Linked DNA regions of Arabidopsis thaliana. The protein of the gene in region 2 interacts with the protein of the main gene of each other region in a pairwise test. Each region holds a gene or a part of one and is shown on either strand. Other genes may lie near its edges.

Region 1 (4,482 bases), on a different chromosome or scaffold from region 2:
AAAAAAAAAAAAAAACTCCCTCCCTACCCCATTGCTTCACATGTAATGAGAATCACTCAATCAGATCACAATCTCACCAATCAAATCATTCCTCCAATTCATTCGTCTACCTGTACCATTGATTCTAGCAACTATATGGCTTTCTTCACCTTACAATAAAAAAAACTCACCATGCTGTACGAAGTACGATATTGGAACTAAGTGGAGAGAACAATACACGCAACCCAACCTGAAAATTCCATTGAGAAAAACAATTGTTTCTCTCAATCCAAAAGTTGAGAATATCCACATGATCAGGAATTGAAACACCTCTTTCTCTAATCGGCTTTTGTCAAAGAGTAATCCAAACAAAAAAACAATCCAGTACAGAAGAAATCTGAATTCCAACAAGGCAGAAGATGAAGGAATCCTAAATATACATATTTAATCATAAACTTTATCACGAATCCCCAAATCACGGATCGGAACAAAAGCCGTACAATCGGAAACATCAATCAAACTAAAGGAAGATTACCTCGCCGGTGAGTCCAGATCCAAGAAGCGCCATGGATGGAATCTGTGAAGCAAACCCGCTCATCGGCGATTCGTACGACGGTTTTACCAAATTGACGACGAACTCGCACACTCGCAAAAAAAAGGTCACTTGTGTTTTGAATAGAGGAGATTATGAATCATTAAAAGACTCTAGCTCATACAGAGACTCTTCGTAAGAAATATTTTTATTTCTTTATTTGAAAGATAAACAGCAAAAAGAAAAGAGATATTAAAGGCGGTAAATACAATTATTCTATTCTATATCATATTGTTAAACCAAACCCGGTTTATCTAAAACCGCCAAGCTGATGTGGCAACAAGTGCTCTTCCATGCCAGCACAGCACCAATTCTCCTTGTCGTTTCGCCACGTGGAATCCTCTAACTTGCGCTTTCTCCAATAAACACTCAGCTTGAAAGTCGGCGAACTGGCTTAGCTGTATCGGCCTCATCCCGGCGGCGCAAAACGCTTCCCGCCAAGTCATTTCGCCGGTGTGTCTCCTGTCAGCCGCCGTTTCTACCGCAGCGGAGATCTTCGGTCGTAGAACGAACGCTTCCACTATCTTCTTCACCAAATCTCCGGGAGGAGCTGCAGCGTCGAGCGACTCCAGCACCATCGTGTAGAACTCAAGAGCGCTAACAAACTCTCGCCGGAATGATCCAGATCCGGCGATCTCCGTCCATCCTTCACTATCCACGAATACAACGACCTTAGGTGATACTCTCCGTAAATTGTTAACAAAATCAGTGATTCCACTTAGACGACGAAATATCGCCGGGGAAATCAAAACGACGGTCCTCTCCCCCTCAACAAACCTAATCGCTTTGAAAGATAACATCTCAAAAGTCTTCATCAGCACAAACTCAATCTGGAAACGAATTTTCATCTCCGCCGCGAATTGAGTTAGGTTTTCTTTCACTAGTCGCGTCTCTACGGCGCACTCCTCCGCCACCACTGCCGTAACTCTTAAAAATCCACCGCTTACAGATTTCTCAGTGATTTCTCTCATAAGCGATGCGTATTGGCCACCGAATCCAATCTCAAAATCCACCACGTGAACAAACGGAGAAGACGACTGCGAGCTCAACGAATCGAGTATCGCTTGATTCGCCGTGAAATGAGAGAAGAGAGGGATCGGAGAAATCCCGGAATATTCCTTAATCGCTCGGATCCTCTGAACAATCTCGGACCAAGAAGATAACCGGATTGGATTCCGGTTTGATCCGGTTAAAAACGAACCGAGAGCTTCCTTAAAGTAAAACGCAGCTCTCTGTAACGGTCTACCCGCCGGAGATCTCAAGCGTTGATTAAGCCGTGATAAAACCACCTGAGCGAGTTGTAACTCGTCCGATTCAACACAATCCACGACTCGGATGAGATCTTCAATGAAATCAAATCCTCCATTGTCGACACTATCAAGAGAATTAAAACCGTACCCAGTTGTTTGGTTCTGACCAGGATAAACATCGGAAGACGATTCGAAATCCGACGGTTGAATCTGATCGGGAAAGCCAGGGAGATTTGAATCGACGGCGTAAAGAGGCAAAATAGTAGAATCTGTTGTGGTTGTGGTGAAACCGGTTTTAAGTGAGTTAGGAGCAGAATCGTCATCAAGCTCCAATTCTTTCATGATGGAATCCCAATCCATTGAACGCATGACATGTTCGTCCATTGATAAGTGATTACTATCAGTACTATTAGTGTTGTTGTTGTTGTTGGTCGTGTCTTGAGGAGATGATGCAGGGATTTTCATGTGTTGTGTGTTAAGAAGAAAGAAAGGTGGAGCCTTTAACGAAAAGAAAAAAAGTTTTTTTCTTTCTGTCTTTTTTCTTTGTGTGTGGGAGAAGAAGAAGGTGGCGGGGCTTTTGAAAGGTGAGAGTGGTAAGCTTTTTATCTTTGAGTGAGTGCGTGCAAATAAAGAGATTTCAACTTTGGTAACCGTGTCTGATCCGGGTTTGTTTGGTTTTACAGAATAATATTTATACACGAAACAATCTGATTGACAATGATTTGTATATGATTCCGTTTTTTATTAATAACATACTATTTCACATGAAATTCAACTGAAAGATTTTAAATCAGTTTTTATTTTGTATTAATTTCTCATAATATATCTCCAAAACTATATACTATGCACAACTAGCAACTTCTGTAGCTAATGAAAAGGAAACTTCTACAGCTCTTTAAAGGGATAAAATACAAATAAAGTTCCTCTGCTTTAAAAATAAAAATAAATCATTTGATTGAAAAGAGATCCAAGCTCCACTATGTTGATCATCAAGAATGTGAAAGTTGAAAATAAAAGAGAAAAAGGATGTTTTAAAAAGGTTAATGATTTCTCTCTTTTTTTTGTCTGAGTGGTTTTTTTTCAGTCTTTTTCATCCTAAAATTTTAAACAGTATTTTACAAAAACATTTAACTGAAAGTTTTTTTTTATTACATATGACAATTTAAGTGATCAAAAATAATCTTTCTCAAACATAGCAGCACGGCTATATGTAACTATGTTGTACCTGAGTTTGAGATCAGCGTTAAAATATTTCATATTTGTGGATATTGTTTTCGATCATTAAATCTCATACGTTTTTGACCCAAGTATGGAGATAAATAAAAAACTATGAATCTGCGTTGATTATTCCAATAGGCAATAGGTATATCAACGTTTGGAATTTTTTTTTAAAAGTAGTTTGTGTTGGACAAAAATATTCTTACTAAACAAACTCTACAACGTCGTTTTTATTCTCACTAAACCTAGTTGTTAGTACCACACAAAATACAATATTATGTATTTATTTAGTACCGTGCATATATCACATAATAATCTCAAACTAGTTACAAAAGCTAGAGAGGTTTATTCGATTGATAACCAATAAAAAAGGGGAAAATTGCATGAAACAATTTGAGTCGATGATGTTTAACGGACACTAATCCCCGCTGCTTGCGACAAAAAACAAAGGAAAGGAAAAAGGGAGTGACCACTGGGCTTTATGTGGAGCCCACATAACACGGTAAAAAGCAGGGGGAAAGTAAGCGGGTCCACAATGGGCTAACTTTTGAGGTAATAATGTCGGAGAAAATGACCGAGAAGCCCATGGGCCAGAGATTGACTGATCATTAAGTCAGCGCGTAAGAATCACGCCCACTTCTTTCTTTTGCTTAGCCCCCCACTCTTCTCTCTAACTCGCAAAGGAAAAAGAAAGAATATGTTCTCTCCTTCACTTATTGCTTTCATTTTCATGGAAATTTACCTTCCTTTTTTGTTTTCTTTCTTTTCTATTTGGTTTGGTGTACCAGAATGCAAAACCATTTCCTCAATCTTTTGAATATACTCTCTTTTTTTTTTCCTTGTGTAATTAGGAATGTTTGATCATATTAGGTTAATAACTCACCATTTTCGCAAAATATGGCCTAGTTTGCGAAATTTAAACATCATATAGTTCTCGTGAAGAAAAGCTTCTTCTCATTGAGACATTATTCAACCTTTAATATCGTGGAGAAAAGGTTCCTCTCATTAATACACCTTTTTCCTAACATAATTCAACTTTTTTTCTTACATAAGTCTTCATCTGTGTTATATAATTTAGATTTTATGCGGTATAGCGGCTCAATTAACACACTAAAATACTAAAAGTTCTTTTTGTGGCAACTTTTTTTAGTTGTTTCTCATTAAATTAATGATTAAGCCCACATTTCTGTTATGTTTTAAAAATTTAAGAGAAATAATCAAGTTTAATATTCCACCGTATGAACGCCTACATGCAATGGGATCCACTTGTATCCTAATCTCATGCTTAACAACTAGTTAGTTTATTTTCGAGGATCATACATAAAATACCATAATATTATAGTTTATATATGTGGAACATGCAAGAAAAATAATCAATGATTTATCGAACTGAAATCACTCGCCAAATTAGTTGCCTTTTTTTTGTTAGATTGAATTGCCAGT
Region 2 (4,853 bases):
AAAAACAAATCAGTGACAGATTTGGTTTCAACATTCTTACTTTTGAAATTTAAATAAAATCTGTGGAGACTATATGAAACAAATTAGTCACGGTTAAAAAATCTGCGAAAAAAAAAAAATCTGGCGTAACATAACACAGGAAAGTCTGGGGTACAAAACAAGTCTGTTGTAAAAAATCTGTGGTTGACCAACAAATCTGTGATCGATAACAAATCCGTCGCAACAAGAGCCACAGATTTATCAAAAACGACGATGGCATTTTCGTAAATAAATGTGGTTTTATTGCCTTGCTGGAATTAAATAGTAATGGCATTTCTGTAATATTGTTTTTCTCTGCAAAGGAAAACAAGGATAATTTAGGTATAATTATTACTCAAATAACTCATATTTTTAGCATTCCTTTTGGGTCTTTATGTATAAAATATGGGTTACTCTATTAAATTTCCCTTATTTTTAACTGAGAAAATCAATCATGAGAATCAAATCTCATCTTTGTTTGATCCTCATTTTTTAGAAAGAGACAATTAGATGCATAGACATATTTTTGAAAAGAATTAAGAAACAAGCAAATAGGTTTTGAATTTTGCAGAACAAGCGAGAGAAGATGCTACACTTTATTATTCACAAAAATAACTTATTTAGTTAAACCCAATTATTCCGTATTTAGCTGATATCAACTACTTTGGACTTCAAATATGTTCTTGATATTTGACTGAGAAACCATGAAGCCAAATTTGTAACATTCTATAAGAAATGTAAAGAAATAATAAAATAAAATAAAAAATTAAAGAAAGTGTCTCTTTAACCTATTGAAGTCTATCTCCAATCACATTTGGCTTCACTTCAATCCCATATTTCCCACAATTCAAGAGATCATACCCACTTTTGGAGTTCAAATCAAAATGCACAAACCCGGATTCTGGTTTAACACATGCATCTCCGGTTTCTATTTTCTCTTGTTCTCCACATAACCGAAACTCTTGAGAGGAATCACCACCATTAAGGTGTGAGATATCAGTAACCAAACCCGCCTTCTCGTTCTTACGATCACTTCCTACAAGTCCCGAAAGTGCGAGATTGAAATCCGAGAATTGACCCTTGTCTGTTTCCCCTGCATTACCACAAGGTAAGCTCTTCTGTGCTTTCTCTAGTAATGTCAACAAATATTTTCCTTGTGCCTCCATTCTCATCTGCAGTTTTTTCTGCACCTATAACACCGCAAAAACTTCGGTTTAAAACTTTTATTCATTGTTGTGAGAGAAGAAAGAAGAGATTTGTTACCTCGAGTTGTTCTTGAAACCGTTGTTGCGCATCGACCTGATGTCTCATTGCCTCAGCAAAAGGTACATTCCCGCTTTGTCTACGTGTGTTCATTAACATTATGTCAAACTCAAGCTTTACAAATCCATTATGTCGAGAGAAGGCAAATTCATATATAATATACCTTTGATGGTTATCAAATCTTGAATCATTGGAGATTCCTCCTTGAGAACAATTGTCGAAATGCACATATGAACTTCCTGTGAATACAAAAATCAATCAATCTTTGGTTTCTCAAATGTTATCTACATTAATATTCCTTAAATACATCATATGTATATATATATTATACTCTACTATAAGCTGAATTATATATAAATCTTGAATTCTTGATAATAATCATACATACCAGCATTTTCTTTGTTTTGTTCTGTTCTATTTTGTTTTTTGCCTTGTTGTTGACCAAGTCTATACTTCTGCATATAGAAACACATCATAAGAGAGAATATAAACCAACAATTTGTAGACATTATACATTATTATATACTCAAATTTGTATAAATTTGGACCTGTAAATGGCTCTTGAGATGGTACAGTGTTAAACCTTTTAATCCCATCAGCTTCAGAACCGATTTAGGAGTTGCTTCTACAAAACCAAACCAATAACAAATGTCACTAAGCAAACAGATATAATTACATTTGTAACCTATTAAATTTGAAGTTATCAAGCTACATAGAGAAGAATCAATTGAATCACTGGCATTAACTTAACCAACCAAACCGAAGTGAACCGGAATCATAATGTGAAACCGGTTATCTCAATTGAAGAATAAGAAAGAGTAAAAGAGCTATAATGTTGTTACACAGATACATCAACTGTAGATTTAACCGGACTGAACCGGAATTATAAAGTGAAACCGGTTATCACAATTGAAGAAGAGGAGGAAAGAGGAGCTTACTGTCAGCGCCACCGAGCTTAGCGACGGCGTCGACGAAGCGATCATGAAGATCGGCTGTCCATCTGAGCCTAGGTTTGGGATCTCTAGTCATCATAACTCCGCCATTATCGTAACCTAAACCTCCGAGATTCACTCTTTCCATTTAATTTTCCGATCAAACAAAATAATGGCGGGAAACTCAGTCGGAAGAATGAATCAAATAACTTCGAAATTTTCCTCTTCTCAAGGATGTGATCGGAAAGAGGAAGCGTAAACTCAAAAAAAGGAAAAATGGCAATCGAACTACGAAATATTGGTCGGAAAGAAAGTGGAAGAAATTTTGTTAAAGATGGGAATGCGAGTGATTAGGGTAAAGAGATAATCGGCGACGAGAGGACGAGATAAATAGAAAGAAGTGTGATGATTGATGGAGAAAAAGAGATCAGAAAACTTTTTGAGGAAAATCTCAGAGAGAGAGAAAGGGAACTTAAAAAAGTCGTCGCGGTGATGATGATGATGGAGGAGGAGAAGTGGTGACATTATTCGTGACTTAACGTCAACCTTCGGTTAATATAGTATTATTATAATATATGTATAATACAAATTATGGATCCAACACTAAAAGTTTGTTTATATACAAAAACAAATTGTATCCATATCGAAATATTATGATAATAAAAAAGAAAATAGTAATTATTAACGTTTTTTATATCGATTTTGTGAATAGTATGAAAGCAAAACATAGCAAAATTTTATTGTATTATGACTGATTAGTGATTTATTGCATACAAACGCAATTACCAACCGCATATTACTTGCGTTTTTAATTGTGTCTATGAGATGCTAGACCGTGTATATGTCATGTTGTAGAATAAAATATATACATGATTGCGTACTTTTTTTTTTCTTTTTGTAATCAATCAAGAGGTATTTGTATATTCAGAATCGTAACATGGGAGAGAGGAACATGGCCCGCATCATGGATATTTGTTTACTATACCTAGATTATTAATGTCCAAAGAATATATAGTTTCTAGGAATTATCATTTTTATCATTTGAATAATTTATATGTTAGATTTATGTGTTTTTAAATCAGATAACTTATGACTAAAGGTTTTGTCTCATTCTCATACAATCCATGAATCAAAATCTCTCTCCATGTTGTTCCTTTATTTAGGTATCATATAAATTTATCATTCATATGTTGTCGGATAGTCTCAATTTGAGATAGAAGAAGAAAATAAACATAGAAAATGTTTCGACCAAATTACTAAATTAGTAATTTGTTATTACACATTCCACATTACACATAAATCAATTCCGAATAATCAAATAAAATGAAATTCATTTTTTTTTTGATAAAAGATTTGATGAAATTCATTGTTGTATTGTGACCTTTTAAAAATTGTTTTAAAAAAAAAACAAATCGTTGTATTCGGCGACGATCAATACATGATGAGTGATGAGCGGTGTCAAATTCCGACAAGAGCGACATAAAACCTTTTTTTGTATTTTTTTAAAAACAATAACAATAATAATTCAATGGTTTTAAAAAGGAATTTATATGACGAAAACAAAGTGCATGGGGCGAGCATGTCACGTAGACTGCCAGCGTGGAATATTCGCCGTCGGACAAGGAAAATACAATAATCTGAAACTCACATGTTCGACGGTGGGGGTTTAATGGTATTTCAACATAGGACACGTGGACGGCTTTGTTACTCTTTTGTCTTTTACGTTTGTTGAAATTGAGACCCACAAGAAATACACACGTGGAACCAAGGCCGCTTCGTTCGACCGCAATCGTTTTGTCCTAACCAAACATGAGAATGGGTGTATTTTTCAATCCAAAGCTCGGTTTACACCGGTACAATCTGACTAAACCGAAATATCATATAACCGGACCGACTCGGGAAACAAAGTTTCTTCTGGTTTAGCTGGAAAATGTACTTGAGAAAAAATCATAAGCCTAACTTGTTTCTCTTTTCAAAACCGATCAGTCTTAACGCCAATTTCACCATATTTCGAAAACTCAATTTATTCCAATGAAGTTAAACTGAAACATAAAGATTTTTTGAGTACCAGTGAGCAAAATTATCTGGTAAAAACTGGAAGAGACTGGCTTTCATCGTAATCATACTGTTTCATGCTCTATCTCTCAATTGCAGAAATTGAGTTTCTTCATGACTTTCGCATATGCTGGTGGTACTAGTCCAGGTTGTCTCAATCTACGCTTCGATTTCTTTGACTGCATCAATTAACAAAACAAATTCTTTACACTCAACATTTCTCAACCTGACTCAGAAATCTTACACAATGATGAAACCCCGAAGAGGTCCAACAACAGAGATGGTATTGTAAAATACAACTTTGCCTACCATTTGTCCATTTAGCTAAACAAGGAAACACCTAAAGACTCGAAGTTCAAAACTAGTTCTATCCAAATTTAAGTTCACTATCACCAGAATCAGCTGTTGGGCAATTTTCGATCAGTTCTATCCCTAGGTATTATCATACTGTTCCTCTAGAGGCGTAGGCCAAAGAATGAATAAAATTTTCTATCATCGATATGAGGAATAAGGTGTTGTTACCTTCAAATGTGCGTTGTGGCGCTTGCCTTCTTTCCAGCGACGGATGGTACCATCATTTAGTGG

The links.
Region 1: the proteins of AT5G45580 (region 2) and HAM4 interact in a two-hybrid assay, tested with the Arabidopsis thaliana proteins (one large-scale study listed by BioGRID).

What each region holds. Positions count from the first base shown.
Region 1 is NC_003075.7:17,303,864-17,308,345, reverse strand, and holds HAM4 (GRAS family transcription factor), read right to left. Parts: upstream 2,589-4,482; 5' UTR 2,287-2,588; coding exon 826-2,286; 3' UTR 698-825; downstream 1-697. Other genes in the region: HVA22K (HVA22-like protein K), read right to left, coding at 171-229, 515-577.
Region 2 is NC_003076.8:18,480,286-18,485,138, forward strand, and holds AT5G45580 (Homeodomain-like superfamily protein), read right to left. Parts: upstream 2,724-4,853; 5' UTR 2,362-2,723; coding exon 2,220-2,361; intron 1,907-2,219; coding exon 1,830-1,906; exon of another isoform or gene 1,791-1,829; coding exon of another isoform or gene 1,737-1,790; coding exon 1,670-1,736; intron 1,521-1,669; coding exon 1,445-1,520; intron 1,361-1,444; coding exon 1,282-1,360; intron 1,209-1,281; coding exon 807-1,208; 3' UTR 524-806; downstream 1-523. Other genes in the region: AT5G45590 (Ribosomal protein L35), read right to left, coding at 4,358-4,447, 4,791-4,853.